Saccharomyces cerevisiae S288C: one gene and its partner. The gene in region 1 interacts genetically with each later gene. Each region holds a gene or a part of one and is shown in the gene's direction. Other genes may lie near its edges. The genes, in order: YIR042C and SPS2.

Evidence for each region.
Region 2: mutations in YIR042C (region 1) and SPS2 together harm fitness more than expected from each alone (negative genetic interaction), as found in Saccharomyces cerevisiae (2 studies listed by BioGRID).

Annotation. Positions count from the first base shown.
Region 1 is NC_001141.2:433,262-439,822, reverse strand, and holds YIR042C (uncharacterized protein), read left to right. Parts: upstream 1-3,839; coding exon 3,840-4,550; downstream 4,551-6,561. Other genes in the region: seripauperin PAU15, read right to left, coding at 5,520-5,894.
Region 2 is NC_001136.10:1,481,465-1,488,972, reverse strand, and holds SPS2 (Sps2p), read left to right. Parts: upstream 1-3,669; coding exon 3,670-5,178; downstream 5,179-7,508. Other genes in the region: GTPase-activating protein AGE1, read left to right, coding at 1-1,431; putative serine/threonine protein kinase SPS1, read left to right, coding at 1,935-3,407; URC2 (Urc2p), read left to right, coding at 5,570-7,508. UniProt on the Saccharomyces cerevisiae protein: Involved in middle stages of meiosis. Redundant with SPS22 for the organization of the beta-glucan layer of the spore wall.

The DNA of each region.
Region 1 (6,561 bases):
CACCACACTACCCTAACACTACCCTACTTTAACCCTAACCATCCTGTCTCTCAACTTACCCTCCATTACCCTTCCTCCCCACTTGTTACCCTGTTCCATTCAACCATACCACTCCGAACCACAATCCATCTCTCTACGTACTACCACCAACCCACCGTCCACCATAACCGTTACCCTCCAATTACCCATATCCAACCCCACTGCCACTTACCCTACCATTACCCTACCATCCACCATCTGCTACTCACTATACTGTTGTTCTACCCACCATATTGAAACGTTAACAAATGATCGTAAATAATACACACATACTTACCCTACCACTCTAATCCCACCACCACATGCCATACTCACCTTTAATTGTATACTGATAGGGCATACGCACACGGATGCTACAGTATATACCACTCTCAAACTTACCCTACTCTCACATTCCACTCCACTCCATGGCCCATCTCTCACTAAATCAGTACAAATGCACTCACATCATTGTGCACGGTACTTGCCTCAGCGGTCTATACCCTGTGCCATTTACCCATAAAGCTCACGATTATCCACATTTTAATATCTATATCTCATTCAGCGGCTCCAAATATTGTATAACTGCTCTTAATGCATACATTATACCACTTTTACGCCATATACTAACCACTCAATTTTTATAAACTTATGTCAATATTACAGAAAAATTACCACTAAAATCACCTAAACATAAAAATATTTTACCTTTCAACTTTACGAAATAAACACTTTGACTTGAAGTATGAGCACTACCATGACGTCATTAATGTAAAAGTTCCTTAATATCGTCGTACCACTATGCTCTATTTAATATATTGTAATATAACTGCACTCTATAGTCATACAGATATTTTCACTTCGCCCTATCTTCCCATACTATTGTCATGGAATCTCACACTGACGCATGATTAAACGAACAATTTATACTATAAGGTCTGTCATTTGCGCTCTATCCTTTTGTTTGCAATATTTATATACAGAATCTCAAAACAAGCGGGAGAAGTGGTAATTACCCAGAGGTCATGCATGATCTGAGTACCACCATACCTCTAAGTTTTTGCTTTGATCCGTTTTACAGTGACAACAAACATAAGGAGAAGGCATTAAAATGGTATCGAAAGGTTATCAATATAGGGAAATAAATTGGTTCTATGAATCTTCATGTAAGATACTCGTAGGCCAGACTCTTTCCCGTGTAAATATTTGTGACAGCTACGTCTATTTTCTACTATATGTTTACACAGTTTTCTCACAGGCAATCTACGCTTAAATATGTGTTTCATTTCAGGCGGCAACTGCTGTGCGAGCAGTGACATTGCCGGTCGCACCTTAAAACGTAAGCCAAAGTTATGACACGCTCTCAAAGTACCCGCATTAAAGTTTTATAAAAGTATTATTACGACTATCGAGTAACTTAGATAGAAAACCGGAAATGAAATGGATGCCCTTTTCGAATAGCTGAGTTTCTTTGTCTAAAATAGCCCAACATTGTTGCCCTTTTTCTATCATGAGATTGCACGAACGCGCGCGCTTCGGCGGCTTTTTTTTCTGCTACATAAAAGCGAAAAGGAAGAAGTTATTACTTTGAATAAAAAAACCTCGAACTGCCATCTCACTACCAAATGAAAGAGAATGAAGTCAAAGATGAGAAAAGCGTAGATGTGTTATCCTTCAAACAGCTCGAATCCCAAAAGACTGTTTTACCCCAGGATGTTTTCCGAAACGAATTGACCTGGTTTTGTTATGAAATTTACAAGTCTTTAGCGTTTCGCATCTGGATGCTATTATGGCTACCACTTAGCATCTGATGGAAACTTTCCAACAATTGGGTTTACCAATTTATAGTTTCACTTCTTGTCCTGGTTTTGGGACCAATATTTCTCCTTGTTATTCGTGAACCTTCTCGTAAGCGCTCCTTATCGAAACAACTCACTCAGTTTTGCAAAGATATTACTAAAAACGCACCAAGTTTGGATACTCATAATTGGGAAATCGTTGCAGCAAATCTAAATTCGTACTTATATGAAAATAAGGCTTGGAATACTAGGTACTTTTTCTTCAATGCCATGGGCTGCCAAGAAGCGTTCAGAACAACCCTTCTCGAACCCTTCTCTTTGAAAAAAGACGAAGCTGCCAAGGTTAAGTCATTTAAGGATTCCGTCTCTTACATTGAAGAAGCATTGGGAGTTTATTTTACAGAAGTTGAAAAACAATGGAAGTTGTTTAATACTGAAAAATCATGGAGCCCTGTTGGCCTAGAAGATGCTAAACTTCCCAAAGAAGCTTACCGATTTAAGCTTACCTGGATTCTTAAAAGGATTTTCAAGCTGCGGTGTTTACAAGTCTTCCTTTATTATTTTTTAATTGTCTACACGTCTGGAAATGTTGACCTTATATCACGTTTCTTGTTTCCGGTAGTAATGTTTTTTATCATGACGAGAGATTTCCAAAATATGGGAATGATTGTTTTATCCGTTAAAATGGAACACAAGATGCAGTTCTTGTCAACTATTATAAATGAGCAAGAAAGCGGTGCGAATGGATGGGACGAAATTGCAAAGAAAATGAATAGGTATTTGTTTGAGAAAAAAGTCTGGAATAATGAAGAGTTTTTCTACGATGGACTTGACTGTGAATGGTTTTTTAGCTGCTTTTTCTATCGCCTTTTATCTTTAAAAAAAACTATGTGGTTTGCTTCGTTGAACGTTGAGCTATGGCCATACGTTAAAGAAGCACAATCCGTGGTAACAAGTCTTTAGTGAAAAAGTGAACATGTTTTTTTCAACCTAAAAGGTGGGTTAAGATTTTCATCGAGCAATTTTATGCACACAGCACGACATGGTTCAGAGTATAATATATTGGAAGAAAATGCACACGAGCATAATTCTCAAATTATATATAATTACTGAGTATTAATTACAACCGGACACGCTCCATAATTATTCTTTTAAGATTATTGTTTATTAAGGAGCACTTCTAGAAAATAAATGTTTGGAGCCATTAAAATGTAAACTAGCAGATAATTATAATTTATATTCCTTAAAGGCACAAATCTCCGTAATATGTGTATGTATTTATTACTTTTGAGTTTGCCTATTTAGCACAGAGCGGATCGAAAGTATTGGAATAGTAACACCGATATTATTTCTTGGAGGCTTCTCATGAGCCAGCATCATTTTAAAGTCAAGCAGTTGAAATGGAGTACATTTCCTCATATTTTCTATATATACACGAGTTCTTATTTAACTTGAATTGAGTGATTTGTTTTCATCATCTCTTGGCAATTTGTTTTTGAAATATTTTTTGAAAAGAAAGATGCAAATTTCGCGAATCACATTTTCTGTTGCATCGATAAGGTTATTGCTGATCATAAACACATTTATGTGAGATTTGTTTCAATAGCGCACGCACTTATACGCCACTCGCTGAATTTGTCTCCTTCTCAAAATTGGGATTATCATAAGGCATAAGTGTATATTAGAAAATTATGCAAACTCTGTACCTATATTTGCAGAGTCTATAAGAAGCTGTTTACTGGGCTTACAATAAAGCAGATCTCTTGTACTGTAATACGTCTTGGATCATCGCCAGTGTGAAAGTCAAAAAGTTCGTAGTTCTTTGTGCACGTGATATTTGCTCTGTTTATTGGTTCATAATGGAAGGTTGTTTTTTTTTTGAGCCATTCTTCAAAGGTTGATAGGAGGTTGATAAGAGGTTGATAAACAATCAACAATGATATAAAAATAGCATGGGAGGACGCCTTGCAAGAATTTTCCCGCCTCTGAACCTGGAAATAATGCCCTTCAGTAGAAACAATTATGGCGAATTTAAATATATTTGGGCAAGAAGTTGGTGCTGACGTCGAAGGTTGGACAACAAGGGCCTTCCCAGAGAAAGTTGTATTGAAAGGTAACACTTGCAGACTAGAACCTCTAGATAGAGAAAGACATGGTTCGGAACTTTTTAGTGCCTATAGTGAGGCAGGCCAAAAATTATGGACGTATTTACCTGCGGGACCATTCACTAACTTGGAGGAATATCTAGAATTCATTAAGGAACTCAATGAAACTAAAGATACTGTGCCTTTCGCAATTATTAATAAAGAGACTGAACGTGCCGTTGGTACATTGTGCTTAATAAGAATCGATGAAGCCAACGGTTCACTAGAAGTTGGATATGTTGTTTTTTCACCAGAATTACAGAAGACGATTATTGCAACTGAAGCTCAATTTCTGTTAATGAAGTATGTATTTGATGATCTTCAATACAGGAGATATGAGTGGAAGTGTGATAGTTTAAATGGGCCGTCAAGGAGGGCAGCGATGCGCTTAGGCTTTAAGTATGAAGGCACGTTTCGACAAGTGGTGGTATATAAGGGTCGCACTCGCGACACTCAATGGTTTTCAATAATCGATAAAGAATGGTTACGCATTCGTAAAACCTTTGAAGAATGGTTAGACAAAACAAATTTTGAAAATGGCAAACAAAAGAGAGGAATAGCAGCAATAAGAGAAAGCTTGTCAAACTGAAAACTCGCCCTCTCTTTCATGCAGGACATATGTATATATAGCATTTTTTGGTTACCATACTGTAGACTAGGATTTTTTTGCAGTCATGTGAATTTTCCGACTTCACCTTCAACAAAGAAAAATCGCATTTACAATGACTAAGACTTCACGCATTTGCGCTGATCTCCTTTAAGCTTGAATGACATTGAAATGTTACGTCGATACCGATAATATTTTGGGCTCTCGGTTTTGATTTAAACCAGGAAGCGTAGCTCTCACCTTACTAAGGCTCACATCATGTCATTTATAGTGTCATTTTGGCCCTAACTATATTCCACCTTTCTTCCATATAATAGTTTCAACCTTAACCTCAAAATGTATCATTTAATTTTTCTCATACTCTATCATATTTGTTATATAAACGTACAAAGATTGTAATGTTAACTATGCTAAAGTACAATTATTCACAGCATACTACACCGCGCTACGGTTCGTTACCAACCCTCACTAAACCCATAACGAAAGTGGGTTATCTTTACTATTTTAAACTATATTTTCCTTTTCTTTTCAGTATCCTCCTTACCGTACTAGCACATTTTTCTTATATGTCTTTTTATTTTCCCATCGTTGAATATATTCAAGTATCCGTTCTGGTTCTACAGTATTTAATATTCACGGGTCAAGACAAGAGCAACTCTACTGCTGTAACAGGTGAATAGCTTGAACGGATTCTGATCTACGAATCCTGTTGTAAAACTGGCCTATTCCGTACAGCTCACATAAAAAAACCCCTAGTTGTGAGAAAGATAAAAGAGCAACTATGCGTTCCCTATTATATTGACGCCCAGCCGGTAGTTCGTGAAAGCAAATGAATTTATAATATTAATATATGTTTATATGTAATCAGCTGTATTTATATTGAAAGCATTTTTTATTTCATTTTTTCGTTACTTTCAATGTCTATGGAATCTCATTCGTAAAGGCATGTCTCTATTTTGGAATAGCAGTGTAAATACCGTCCTTAGATAGAGCACTGGAGATAGCTGGTCTCAATCTGGTAGAGTACCATGGAACACCAGTGATAACTCTGGTGACTTGTTCAGCTGGAATACCAGTCAACATGGTGGTGAAGTCACCATAGTTGAAAACAGCTTCAGCAATTTCAACTGGGTAGGTCTCACTTGGATGAGCTGCTTGAAACAAGTAGTATTGGGCCAAATGAGCTCTGATATCGGAGACGTAAACACCCAATTCGACCAAGTTAACTCTTTCGTCAGATGGAGATAGAGTGGTAGTGGCTGGGGCAGCGGCAACACCAGCAGCGATGGCGGCGACACCAGCAGCGATTGAAGTTAATTTGACCATTATATTTGTTTTGTTTTTTAGTGCTGATATAAGCTTAACAGGAAAGAAAGGAATAAAAACATATTCTCAAAGACATACAGTTGAAGCAGCTCTATTTATACCCATGCCTTCATCAGTCATCACTACTTAAACGATTCGTTAACAGGTGCTCATTTAGCACCTCACATATCCTCCATATCTCATCTTTCACACAATCTCATTATCTCTATGGAGATGACCTTGTTTCTGAACGAATCATACATCTTTCATAGACTTCGTATGTGGAGTATTGTTTTATGGCACTCATGTGTATTCGTATGCGCAGAATGTGGGAATGCCAATTATAGGGTGCCGAGGTGCCTTATAAAACCCTTTTCTGTGCCTGTGACATTTCCTTTTTCGGTCAAAAAGAATATCCGAATTTTAGATTTGGACCCTCGTACAGAAGCTTATTGTCTAAGCCCATATTCAGTCTGCTCTAAACGGCTTCCATGCAAGAAATATTTCTATCTCTTGAATTCGTACAACATTAAACGTGTGTTGGGAGTCGTATACTGTTAGGGTCTGCAAATATGTAAACTCTCGGCGAAGGCCTTGGTGCAATTACGTAATTGTAGCCGCTGAGAGGCGGATGGTATTGAGAGAAGTTGATATTCAAAGAATTGATTATGATAAAAAAAAAAAATTG
Region 2 (7,508 bases), on another chromosome or scaffold:
GATATCAACAAAAATGTTGTGCCTTTGTTCAGTAAAGGAACAGTAGCAAGAACAGCATCAAAAGCACAGTATCCATCATGGTGCAACAACGCGTTAAAGTTAACTAATATTCTTCTTAAATCTCTTCGATGTAAATTTCAAACGAACCGCTGCGAGGATGATCGAGGTTTTGAGGTATATTGTGTTATTTTAAAAAGCATCGCTTTATTAATGGCCGCGAAAGAATCATTGATATTACTACAAATACCTCCTTCTTTACCATCAGGATTTCCATTTCGTTCACCCCAACTGTCATTTACATATTTATCAACCCGTCTTAGTGGGAGCCAACACAAATCTACGCATTCTCATCACATCAATCATCAAACTCATCCCATTCATAGTAGCAGTAGCAACAGTAATAGTAATAACCGTATTCCTACAAAAACAGATTCCTCCAAACAGCATACACAGCATTTCTCTTTTGCTAATGCGGGAGCCTCCAATAGAGACGAACTGCTATCAATCGTGCGCAAAATTGATAAATCTAATTTGAAGTGTTGTGACTGCGGTAGCACCGCAACAGTAGAATGGGTGTCAATCAATTTATTGTGTATATTGTGTATCAAATGTTCGGGCGTTCATCGATCTCTGGGTTCACATATCTCCAAAATTAGATCTTTAACGCTGGATAATTTCACCTCGTTAGAGTTGATGCATCTTTTACAAAATAATGTTTCCAATAGTAATGTTAATGCCATTTATGAAAGCAATCTCAGGAACTTTCCAGTTAAAAAAATAACTGCAAATTCTGATGACTCGGAAAGATCCAAATTCATTATTGATAAGTATCAATTTAAAAAGTTTGTTATCGACAGCAACCAAGGCAGAGAGGCTTCTTTGAAGTCTTTAATTAAAGCTATCCATTTAGATAGTGTTTTCATGATGCAAAGAGCCATCGCCCAAAGTAAATATTCCCTAAGAGAATTGACGGCAAGCGAAAAAGAGCAGAATGATCTAAACCATTCTTCCATTTTTCAATATTCCCTAAAGCACTATGAAATTGTTGATGGAACGCCCATTTTTTTTATTACAGAATTTTTATTGTGCAATGGTATTCATATAGATAATTTACCGAAGATTACTACGAATTGGTCTCCAAAGGTTTTAGAATATTGGGAAACTAAGTTGGAGATGTACGGAACATTCCAAGCTGTAAATACTTCTCGTCCAAGATCAGGGCCGCATTTAAATATGCATTCAAATGTAGATTCAGCTTCGTCCTACAATAAGAAACACGATTTGAGAGTTAACATACCTGAAAGAAGTGCCTCAGCAAGTAAAAGGTGGAGTTTGAGCTCCATTCCTAAGTCTTCTCAAAATTTGATGTCCCCAACAAACTTATTAACAATGCATAAGTCTTTAAAATTGGCCAAAAAGGACAAAAAATAACATATATGATAATTTAACTGTATTTTTTTCCCTTTTCTAATACTTTTTCCTCAAGTTATATTTCGGAGCTGTCCCAGGTTCGGAACAATGCGGCATCAGGGATAAAAAAAAATGACACATAAAAACGAAAAAGACACAAATTCCATTTTTTTTTTTTGACGCGAAAGAATGACACTACTTTCTTCTATTGTAACCATTTCTAACATCGATATTTTACTTGTTAGTTCAGATATATACTAAAGAGTCACTTAATATACTGTTTTTGTTTATTATCTTGGTTCCAACTGCTTCATTTAATATTTCCTATCCAAAAAAAGCCAGCTAATTCTCTTCTTTTTTTTTCTTATTTTGCCATTTTCAATATTATCGATTTAGTGAACACCTGGCTAGTCAGTTGTCTTAGCAAACATTTCTCAAAAGAAAGCAAACCAGCATTTGCTTTTTAAATTTAGTTTTTTTACTAGCTAATTCATTTACTAAACAACAAAAGAAAATAGCACAAAATGGAAAGCAAAGAAATATCAATTAGGTCAAGAACCCCTCCATCGAAGCTATATTCCATCCAATCATGTATTGGCAGAGGTAACTTTGGTGATGTGTATAAAGCAGTGGATAGAGTTACGCAAGAAATTGTGGCAATTAAGGTGGTCAACCTGGAGCATTCCGACGAAGACATTGAACTGTTAGCACAGGAAATTTTTTTTCTGGCGGAATTGAAATCTCCTCTTATTACAAACTATATTGCAACAATGTTAGAAGATGTCTCTATGTGGATTGTCATGGAATATTGCGGCGGTGGATCATGTTCAGATTTACTGAAGCGAAGTTACGTCAACGGTTTGCCTGAAGAAAAAGTTTCCTTCATTATTCATGAAGTCACCTTGGGTTTGAAATACCTGCATGAGCAAAGGAAAATTCATCGTGATATCAAAGCAGCTAATATTTTACTAAATGAAGAAGGTATGGTTAAGTTGGGTGATTTCGGAGTAAGTGGCCACATTCGTTCCACTTTGAAAAGGGACACTTTTGTAGGAACGCCGTATTGGATGGCTCCGGAAGTTGTTTGCTGCGAAGTTGATGGGTATAATGAGAAAGCAGATATATGGTCCTTGGGTATCACCACCTATGAGTTACTCAAGGGCTTACCCCCATTATCTAAATATGATCCTATGAAAGTTATGACTAACTTACCAAAAAGGAAGCCTCCAAAATTACAAGGTCCCTTTTCGGATGCAGCAAAGGATTTCGTAGCTGGTTGTCTTGTTAAAACACCTGCTGATCGGCCATCGGCATATAACTTGTTATCATTTGAATTTGTTAAGAATATCACCATAACGAACTTGAAAAGTGATGTTGATCTAATTAAACAGAAAAAGGTTCAGGAGAGATATACAAAAGTTCCCAAATACCCTCTTCAAAATCGCTTGTATAAAAACAGCAACACAGTGAGGGGAAAGGAATTTTGGAATTTTGAATCGACAAGACTAAGCACAACACAAATTTCCAAAGAGGAATTATCTCCCATTACACAAGACTCTCCAACATCATCTTTAAATATGGAAAGTCCTTATTTACTTCATGGGCAAACTGTAACGCCGATAACCAACCCAAGTTCTTCATCATTTAGAAAATGTACGCAACCAGTTTTCGAGCTTGATTCAGGAATGGATATAGATTCAGGCTGCCCAAATGCTCAAGCAGAGACCGAAATAGTTCCTCTCTCTAATCATAATAAGAAGCATAAAAAGAACGATATTCAGGCGTTGAAGATAGAAAAGTTTGACTACTTGAAAAACATTGTATCTCATATTCTCAACAGAATGTATGATCGTGCGCGCGACGATGAAACAAGAAAATACGTAAATGAAATGTTAAAGCAATTCATTAAAACTGAGGCAAACGTTCCTGGATTTAATGAGGTTTTTATAGAAGAGATCTCACTAAGAATTGAAGCAATAAAGAAAGGATTCGTTTAAAAAAATAGATATATATATATAATGTGTGTATATGCATGAGTTTTTGTTTTCCATTCTCTTTCATCTTCAATAAATGAAGGATGGATATATTGAATTATATAACAAACAGTAAAAAGTCATGTGTTTTTGATTATTTACCTGCTTATTTCTCCCTTTTTTTTTCGATTCTTTTTTTCTGATCGAGCGTTTATGTCTTTACTGTCCCGTCATTGATGCGTCTCAAAAAAAATATTTTGTGGCATTACTTAGACTATAAAAGAAAATGCCAATTTGGAAAACACAAACATTCTTCACTAGTATTTCTGTTATTCAAATAGTCAATAAAGAAACCAAAGTTTCTACAAAAAAAGAAAAGGATAGCATGTTGAACCAGTTGAACACAATCTTAAGATTTTTATTCTTGTTTCTGCAGTTAATTAAATCATCCGCTGCAGTTGAACCTAATGGTGGACCGAATATTCTAGATCACAACATTATGTTGGTTAACACTAATGCAACGATCCCTAAAAAGGAACAAACTGATTTTGAGGTGATTTCTCCAACAAAACAAACACAAGTAGATGAAGACTGTAAAAAAGGCTTGTATCATATTGAGAATGCTGGAAATTTGATTGAACTGCAAGCTAAATGTTGGAAAGTGGTAGGAAACATTGAAATATCAAGTAACTACAGCGGATCTCTTATTGATCTAGGGTTAATAAGAGAGATAGAGGGAGATCTTATTATCAAGAATAACAAACACATTTTTAGAATCCAGGGTTATAATTTAGAGTCTTTGGGAAAGTTGGAATTGGATAGCCTAACTTCCTTTGTATCATTAGACTTTCCCGCTTTAAAAGAAGTTGAAACCGTTGATTGGAGAGTTTTGCCTATTCTAAGTAGTGTTGTCATTAACGGAAATATTAAAAAGATCAAAAATATTATCATATCTGATACTGCATTAACCTCCATCGATTACTTCAATAACGTCAAGAAAGTGGATATTTTCAATATCAACAATAACAGGTTTTTAGAAAATTTATTCGCAAGTTTAGAAAGTGTTACTAAACAACTAACCGTCCACTCTAATGCCAAAGAGCTGGAACTTGATTTGAGCAACTTACACACGGTTGAAAATATGACCATTAAGGACGTTTCAGAAATTAAACTAGCTAAACTTTCCTCTGTGAACAGTTCTCTAGAGTTCATCGAGAATCAATTTTCAAGCTTGGAACTACCACTTTTGGCAAAAGTTCAAGGAACGTTGGGGTTAATAGATAATAAAAATCTGAAAAAGCTAAACTTTTCGAATGCCACCGATATTCAAGGGGGTCTAATGATTGCTAACAATACAGAGCTTGCCAAAATTGATTTCTTCCCCAAGTTGAGGCAAATTGGCGGTGCAATATATTTTGAAGGTAGCTTTGATAAAATTGACCTCCCAGAGCTAAAGTTAGTAAAAGGTAGCGCTTATATCAAAAGTTCATCTGAGGAATTAAACTGTGAAGAATTTACATCACCAAAAGCCGGTCGTTCGATCATAAGAGGCGGTAAAATCGAATGCACATCTGGTATGAAAAGTAAAATGCTGAATGTTGATGAAGAGGGGAATGTACTAGGAAAGCAGGAAACTGACAATGATAATGGAAAGAAAGAAAAAGGAAAAAATGGTGCAAAAAGTCAAGGAAGTTCAAAGAAGATGGAAAACAGTGCTCCGAAGAACATTTTTATTGATGCTTTCAAAATGTCAGTTTATGCAGTTTTCACGGTATTGTTCTCGATAATTTTTTAGGTTAGAAGATTAACTTAAATACTAGCCATTTTATTTAGTTCTTATGAGATATAAATTTGCAGTAGAGATGTAGTGTTCTGATTATCTTCACCTGGAGCATAGCGTAGCCCACTTAGCATCAGCTTTTTATGTTATTTCAGGCATTACCAAAACTGGTTAAACTATTGAAACTGTTACCCTCCTTTTAATTTTGACAGTTTTTGAATAATTATTATGGTAGATCATCTTAACAAAATGAGCTCATTAGGTAGATGATTTAATTGAAAAATAGTGTTTTGATACGGTTCTTCCTTAGGGTTAAAACCACTCACATTTTGCTTACTCACCATTAAAACATCTTTCCCAGTTGTATTTTATATTTCTTTCGGTTTGCTGAACATCAGGGAAAAAAATGGATATAAACTCAAATGCCTCAGTAAGCCCCAGACCAGATGGTTTACCGATGACTGCTGGATATAATTCTGCTTCTGGAAAGGTGCGAAATAGTATCAGATCCATAATAAACCACCCAGAGGATAGTGCAAGAGCCAAAGAGCGCAGTGAAACGAACAGTCCTAAGAATAATGGCAACAAAAAACCTAGAAAGAAAAGAAAAACATTTAGTTGTGATACTTGCAGGAGAGTGAAGACAAGGTGCGATTTTGAACCTTTCATTGGAAAATGTTACAGATGTAACGTTCTGCAGCTTGATTGCTCCTTAGCCAGGAATAAAGACAATGAAATTTTGAATACTTTACGTGAGGATGGTCTACTAAAGAAGATCAACTCAATTAATCACAACCTTGGTTCTTTCTCTCATTTGAATGCGGACTCTCCCAACGAAAGCCAAAGTAGTTTTGAAAAGAATGGAACGGTCAATTTTGATAATTACATGATCGATAAAAGGCTTTCATCTTTAGAAGAGCACATAAAATCTTTACACCAGAAAATGGACTTGATAATCACCACAGCAAAGATGTCTTATAACAGCGATATCAAAGGCCCTGGAGATGATATTCAGAACGTGGATTTCAGCTCAAATAAGACGTACGATAGTCGTCTAACTTCGGGCTCAGAGACGATAAGGAAAACAGGGGAATATAGAAAAGAAAATCTTTTCTTAAATGGATTTAAGTTGAAGGAATCTCCTTTAAAATTGCTACATGATATTGATGAGAGGCTATTTCCATCGAAGGCTACATCTAAAGCTGCGAAGCTAGCTGGACAGCAAAGGCCATATGCTGTTGCAAGAGTGAACTTTCTCCATTTTTATGAGAATAATCAGGAATTATGCCATAAGCTTGCAAAAGAATTTCTGGTGAGATCCCATTTCTGGATAATTCCAGGTGGGAGAAAAGAGATAGACGTGGAATATGCCCACTCACACCTATTTATTACAAGTGTTTTTACTATTATCGCTATGAGTTTTGCTGACAACGATAAATACGCTGCAGAACAAGAAATATTGTATCCTTTAGTGGAGAGATTACTCACTAATACGTTAACCATGTTTGAAAAGTTAACAGCGTTTGATATTGAGGCTATTTTATATTGCTGTATGTTCCATATTTCGCGAAAGGCAAAGAGATATAGGCAACTGAAGTTTAATTCTCTGGTACTAAGCAATTTTGCGCTCAATAGCTTGTTACATGTAATAGATTTTTATCAGATAAAGGATAGGGTTTTGGTAAAAGAAGTGTATAATCCCGAAGATCTTTATCATCTAAGAATACTAAATTCACTAACTGCCTGCTATTTAGAATATTCCATTAGTTACGGCGATATTAGGGAACAGGATGATATGCTTAAAGAGTTTAATAAACTTGTGGCGAAATTTCCTCAGGCGAATTTTGGTGATGACATTAAAATCAGTGAGATAAATTTAGGTGACATCGTAAATGGCATCTTTATAAACCTTAAAAATTATTTTGCGCAGTGTTTGGATGACTTTAACAATGACAGATATGGAGGTAACGCAGATACTTTTATCTTTGTTTTTCCAGAGCTAAATTATTGGCTGAAAAATTGGGAAGAGCTTTTAGCAAAGGATGGCGCGGGCGTGCTATTGTTCACATTTGATTTTTATCATATCATGATATGTCGCACTTTTATCACAGAATTTTCTTCCACGCTAAAAAGCAACCAAAGGTTTTTGAAACTAATTCTTAATACGATGAAAGAACATTCATTTTCGCTGTTGAATGGGTTTTTGAGACTACCGCCAACGTTAATAAGGGGTGCTCCGATTTTTACTTGTCATCAACTAGTCTACGCCTGTTTAACTCTTTGTGACTATCTTTATTGGTTCGATTCTTCTGAACGTCAACGCGTTTTGAGTCTTTGTACAAAAG